Drosophila melanogaster: one gene and its partner. The protein of the gene in region 1 interacts with the protein of each later gene in a pairwise test. Each region holds a gene or a part of one and is shown in the gene's direction. Other genes may lie near its edges.

What was found. The genes of interacting proteins can lie anywhere in the genome.
Region 2: the proteins of Tnpo-SR (region 1) and CG15578 interact in a two-hybrid assay, tested with the Drosophila melanogaster proteins (one large-scale study listed by BioGRID).

The regions. Positions count from the first base shown.
Region 1 is NT_033779.5:2,757,809-2,761,565, forward strand, and holds the start of Tnpo-SR (Transportin-Serine/Arginine rich), read left to right. Parts: upstream 1-2,115; 5' UTR 2,116-2,224; coding exon 2,225-2,338; intron 2,339-2,408; coding exon 2,409-3,500; intron 3,501-3,695; coding exon 3,696-3,757. Other genes in the region: HemK2 (HemK methyltransferase 2), read right to left, coding at 742-1,416; Snapin (SNAP associated protein), read right to left, coding at 1,435-1,839.
Region 2 is NC_004354.4:4,276,905-4,279,976, reverse strand, and holds CG15578 (uncharacterized protein), read left to right. Parts: upstream 1-2,015; 5' UTR 2,016-2,114; coding exon 2,115-2,384; 3' UTR 2,385-2,430; downstream 2,431-3,072. Other genes in the region: CG15577 (uncharacterized protein), read left to right, coding at 3,071-3,072.

The DNA.
Region 1 (3,757 bases):
GTGCGAGAATAACATCTAGTAGCGCGAAAGGGCAAAAAGAGAAAAGAACCACGAATCGAAAACGAGAATAAGAAACAATTTTGAACGATGAAATAAATTATTGTAATTACGTAAAAGCGAAAACCGTACGTACATACCACCCATTTGGCATCTGTTCCGATGCCAATAAAAGTTTGTTTCAATTGCAGTTGGCCATTTTGGGTGGGGCAATCACCTCGCTTCGGTGTTCCCAGGGGTAGTAGTTCTTAGCCAGGAGCATGTACGTATGTAGGTACATAATTCATAGATTGGCCGCCCCTACATTACTCCGATCCATCCCTTCCATATCCCAGTTTTCGTTCGGGGGTTGACGAGCTGGTTCCCACAATCCTCCCTATGAAAGAAATCATATACTAAGGGATGATGGAAAAATTCAATCGGAAATTTCCTTTGATTAAGTACCTTTTTCGGATTGAAAATCGATTAGCCTTAGCAGATGCCTATTAAAAAAACGAATGATGAAATTCCGGGCTCTTCGTTGGGCAAATGAAGTTGAGCTACTTTTATATTCAAATTCAAATATAAGCGCAAAAATTTCTAAAAGTTTAAGAGCTTTTAAGTTTCATAAGCCATTTCTTTCATTTATTTCAACTTTTATTAAAATTATTCTCCATATTATTTAGTATCAAATTTAAGAATAAACGCCTAAAAAAGTTTATCTTTTAATTAAAATACAACTTTAATTTGATGCTATTGCACGAGTCATGATGATGCCAAGTACCTGGTGACCTTCAGTATGCACAAATGCTCGCCAGGAATGCGTCGCTCCATGAACTTAACAGCCCGGAACTGGAGGCCCTCTAAGTATTTGATAATCTCCTCCGGCTTGTTCTCCCGCAGCAGGAGTAGGTAGAGCACGCCTCGAGGCGAAAGAATGTCATCCAATTGCTTGAGTAGAATGTCCGTGACGCGTCGCCCGTCCTGTCCACCAGCCCAGGAGAAAACCAGATTGCGATCCGTTGAGGATTCGCTGTGCGAATCGAACTGTTGCGTCTGCAGCTCCTCGTCACTGGTGACTACATAGGGCGGATTGAAGAGCAGCACGTCCACGGATCGCGGACGCAGTGCATCCGCTAGGCTGCAGCGAATGCTATCCAAGCGAGCGCCATTCCGAGTCGCAGTTCTTCGAGTGGCATTGCAGGCTTTGGGATTGATATCCGTAGCTAGGCACAGCGAAAAGCCAGCCAGTTTCTTGGCCAGCGCCGTGATGATCACACCCGAACCGGAGCCCAGTTCGACGCAGAGACTCGGCTGTAGCCGGTCCAGGTACTCCAGATCCTTTTCCAGGGCATCCAGCAGCAGGAACGAGTCCTCCGCTGGCTCGTAAACGTGCTCGAAATCTTCTGGGCTCAAGTGGTCGGTGTAGGGCGTCTCCATGACGAACAGTAATTGGATTTAGGATATGTTGGTGCTGAGCGCGGAATCGAGAAGCGCCTGTCGCCGCCGCTGCTCCTTCTCTATCAGCTTGTGCAGACCCGTCAGCCGCTCCTGGCTGGTCACCAACACGTTGCTTATGACCGTCACCTTGTGCTTGACGTTCAGCAGCTCCTTCACCTTGTCCGCGAACTCGGGTATCTGACTCTGCGCCTTTTCGATGTCCCTCAGCTGGGCGGCCAGTGCATCCAGTTGGCCACGCAGCTCAGCCTGCAGCTGGATGGTGGAGGCCACGCGCTCGTCCAACCGCTCGATCGTCGGCTTGAAGAGATTGGTGATGCCCTCGGCGAGGATGTCGCGCGTGGGATTCGTGCAAAAGTTCTCCGTGTTCTCCTCCAAGGAAGTCACGGTGCTGTCCGAATCCATTGCAGAATTCTGATCAGAAAACTGATTAGAGATGTTGTTGCGAGCAACCAATGGTATCGATGTATCGACTACATAGGGGTGGCAAGTATTAAGATATAAAAACCGAGTAGCTTTATTGCTCAAAAAACGAATTCACATAAGCTAAAAAATATTTGACTGTAAAAATATTTTAATTATTTTTAATGGTCCTTAATGTTTGACGCACTTGACAACCCTGAATAATTTCAAAAAGTCCTGCAGACTATCGGACATTCACCTTTCAAAGTTATCGCATGCCACCTCCTTGCGTTATCGATACACGGGATGTACGCAATCAGCCATCGCTAATAAAGTATAATAATAAGTAATTAAGAAATTTTATGCGCTGATTAAAGCTGCCGATGAAATGGATACGTACTCGGTGGACGTGGTGTACCAAGCAATCAGCGCCCTCTTCCAAGGCAACAATCCCAAGGAGCAGGAGAAGGCCAACAAATGGCTCCAGGACTTCCAGAAGTCGGTGAGTGATAATCGCCCGGTGTACGAAACCTTCGTGCGATTGCTAAGTTTTTTTTTGGACTTCCTTAAAGATCTATTCTTGGACGATTGCGGACGAGCTGCTTCACCAGAAACGAGACCTGCACGCCAACTACTTTGCTGCGCAGACCATGCGGAACAAGATACAGAACTCCTTCAGCGAACTGCCACCGCACACGCACGAATCTCTGCGGGATTCACTGATCACACACATAGGCCAGATCGACGAGCAGACGGACAATGTGATTGTGACGCAGCTCAGTCTGGCGGTTGCCGATCTGGCCCTGCTGATGGCCAGCTGGCGGGAGCCGATCAACGATCTTCTGGTGACACTGGCGCCACATCAGTGCGCCATCTGGCCCCTGCTGGAGGTGCTCAAGGTGCTTCCCGAGGAAATAGACTCACGGTATCTGCGGCTGGGCGCCAATCGGCGCGAGGAGGTGCACAAGCAGCTGGACGCCAGCGCAGAGTGTGTCCTAAAGTTCCTGTGTATGTGCCTACAGCGGGAGGATCTCGACCAGCAGCGCGTGTGGAATGCGGCGTTGCGCACCTACAGTGCCTGGCTGGTGATCCATGCCTTTCCCGTCTCGCACGTGTACAACAACGCCCTCACACAGCTGGCCTTCCGGTTGCTCTCGCTGCCGGAGACCAGTGGAAAACTGCACGACAATGCCACCGAATGCGTGTGTGCGCTGCTCTCCTGCATAAACACACGACAGGATGGCGCCAGCGATCCGGAGTCCTCTTTCGAGGCACAACTCTTTGGAGCTGTCTGCATGCTGGAGACTCCCTATCACTTGAGTGTGGCGCACGAGGACACCGACAAGACGATCAACTACTGCCGAATTTTCACCTCGTTGTGCGATGCCTTCTTCTACGATTTATTGGCCGATGCCCAGAAGCCACACTACAGTTTGAAAGGACTGGATCTTGTGCTGCTTTGCGTCGGACACTTCGACTACGAGGTGGCCGAGATCACCTTCCACCTGTGGTACAAACTCTCCGAGGATCTATTCCAGCGCAACGAGGATAAGCTGACGGTTCTATTCCGGCCGCACATCGAGCGGCTGATCAGCGCCCTGTTTCGCCACTCGCAAATGGAGAGCGACCACGACGGGCTCATCGAGGAGAACAACAATTTCTTTGTGAGTGTGTGATATTGAGAAATTTTAGCAGTTTTCTTTGAAGTTGGGTATTTTAATTGAATAGGCATTTATGGCTAGAGTCGGTTTATTTAGAAATGAGTACAAGAAGTTTGATTAGTTTTCTACATTATCAACGTTAAATTAATATAATGCCTTGAAGTTAATTGTACTAATCTTAAAACAAATGAATTGCAGGACTTTCGACGCAAGGTCTCAGATCTAATAAAAGACGTGGCCTTCATAGTGGGATCTGGAGC
Region 2 (3,072 bases), on another chromosome or scaffold:
CTCCTGAACTCCTCAACACCGACCCCACCTCAACACCAACCCGTGCGATGCGGCAGTGTTGCTACCATAAATCACTTTTCCATTTGCTATCCCACGCTTTTGCATAGATGCCAAAAGTACAGTTGTGCTCGCGCGAAAAAGTTGCAAAGTAGATTTGTAATTGCAGCGTAGGGGTTTAAAAAAGAGGTGTGTTTAAGCTCTTATGTGCTGATTACCAAATGTGAATCATACAGCCATTTATAGAGACTAGATATAAATCGTAGCTTATAATGACATACATATTATGATTTTTTATTAATACAAAGTTACTAATTTTAGATATCTGTACTTAAAAAGAGTTTATTCTATTCGGTTGTTTTGGATTAAGACTTGGGGCTTTTTTTCGCTCAATTGCTTTCACTGAAATGGGAGCCCTTTGTCTGCGATTTTTCTCATGCATCCTGTAGCCCGAATCCTTTATCCTTCAGTCGAGCTCTAGTCCTAGTCCTAGACCTAGACCTGGGGTCCAAAACAAAGCTAAGTCGCACACAAAGCCAATTGGCCGGCTTCTAACTCACTCTTTCTATTTTCCCCGCCGGTTGTTGGGTAAAAGATGTTAGCTAAAAGGGAACAAAACGAAGCCACGCACTTGTAGTTACAAAGCGGATACTCATTTAAGTTGATTCACCGCACCAACAACTGTACAAAGGACGCGAGGACGCGACGTCAGCCAATGACACTTTATGACAATTGCACTTGGCGGCTGCTCCTGATGAAGGGGGCCCAGAGCAATACTGGGCGGTATATATACATATGTATGTGTATATATCCCGGACGGAGGTCCTGCAAAACAGGGTCGGCTTTCTCCTGGGCCAGCCGAACAAGCGAACAAAGCAGCCAACGAGGACACAACAAGAACAAACAAGTGAAAATCATTCAGGGAAAACTGCCGTCTACCAACTCCATCTCGAAAGGAAATCCGCGTACGCTGGGGAGCGCAGAGAACTCTACGCCAAATAAAACAAATAAGAAAGTTATCGTATTGATGTTTGGACTAAACGATACCTAGTGCTTGGAACGAAGAGTTTCGGCTAAATTAGTTATACAGTAAAACATCTCAGCAAATATGCTGTGTACGATTTTGTCACAAACTTAAAACTGTTATGATTACCGGCGGCTTCTTTTCGCTCAATACTGCCCTTTATATTTTACTGTATAGCAACCAATAACTCAAATTACACCGATCCCCCTTCAATGCACTCCTGAGCTGCACAGATGCTACGTAAAAGCACAAAAACAAAAAGTAATCGTAAACAAAATGCCGGAAAAGGCAAAAAACATGGCGACAAAGACGGTGGCGACTATGGCGATGACTATGACTCCAAACCACGTGCTCCATATGCTGAACATGAGGCGAATGCGAATGCGAATGCGAAGGGGATCCTGGGTATACATACATATATGTATATATGGCCGAGATCGTGGGCACGAGTGGTGGAGATGCGGAGATGTGGAGATGAGAGCGGCCCGACGTCGCCGTGATAATGACTTTTTGTCTCTGCTCGAATGTCACTTGATGTTTGTGGGCCCTTCGCTTCCTGGCTACACTCGGAAAATTGTTGCACCCAAAGATGCAATAGAAATATACATGTATTTTTGCAACGCAAAATCTAAAAGTTACAAAATAAGAGGCGCACTTTAACTTGCAAATCAAGATACTTTAGTGGGTATTTTAATTTATTGAAGACACTATCAACTCGATCAGCCTTTCTTTAGTTGCTGTGTTTCCTGCTCTTTGTTGCTTTTCTGGCTGTTGCCTTTGTTGTTGCAGTTTTCGTTTTTATGCCTCGAGGTCATTCAAGTTCAACCCGCCACAGTCGCCATCTGATTAATTGGCCATGCTGTTGAAGCACACCGGCAAGAAGGCCAAAAAGCAAGGATCGAAGCAGGCTGAAAATTCATGTAGTTGGCATTGCCTTTTACTGTCACAAATAGCTGGGACTTTCGTTCCCCTACCTAGCTAATAACGATATAGGCCAGCCGTTGAGTCAGTAACAAAATTTTTCTATACTTTTACATTTGGTTTCCCAAAAAAAAAAAAAAAATCACAAAAAAAAACGACAAAAAAATTAAACATGGCCGACATCTTCACGACACTGCCGAAACGTCGGTTGGTACCCAACCTACTTAAGTCCATTATAATGGTCCTGGAGCATACTAGCCGACCCATGACTGACACAGAGCTGAACATCTTCCTGGGCAGCCAGTACCAACGTAACGATCCGGAATTCTTTGCCCAAGTGCAAATCAATCTGCACGATGGCATCGAAAGCGCCATTCTGAGGCGCCAGGGAAACCAGATTTCGCTGCTCGCTTGGATCCTCACCAAACCGATGAACCTTTGAAAACCGCCAAACCCACACTTCAGATAAGAAGAATAATCCTTAACAGAACAGTGTATCCTTTTGTTTTATTTGGTTATTATTTGGTAGGGAAGTTAACAAATTATCATGTTCCATGGGGCTTTTTGTACTGTGCAACGGCGGCTAAAGCGTTTGGACACATATATACATCTCGGTCTTAAAGTATGCACTTTAATTATATACGTAAAGAGGGCCTTGCCAATTGTTGAACATCCGGGTAATCGACGCAGTAGCAGCTGTAACAGGGTCGCAATCCGTATCCTGCAAAGTCAGATATTAGTCGAAACTGTGCTTTACCAACGTTAAACGTTACATTTGGCACCGAATCCCACGCCCGATTGGCCTTCTGGTGGCAGACGCGTTTTGTGGCAAATATTTGTGAATGTTTGCATTGAATCGCCAAATATGCAATTATATCATAAATTAAGCGGTGAAAATCAAACATTCTACGGAGTGATGATAATGTGAAAATTTCGAGGATCGAAGCAGTCAGGAAATTCATGTAGTTGGCTTGCCTTTTTGCTGTCACACGTATCTGGGGCTTTCGTTCCCGAGCTCATAACGACTCAGGCTGCCCGGCGAGTCGGTCGCAAAATTTGTCTACACATTTGGTTTCCAAAAAAGGAATATAAAAAAGTCAACAAAAAAATGTAAAAAATTTTACTACCAT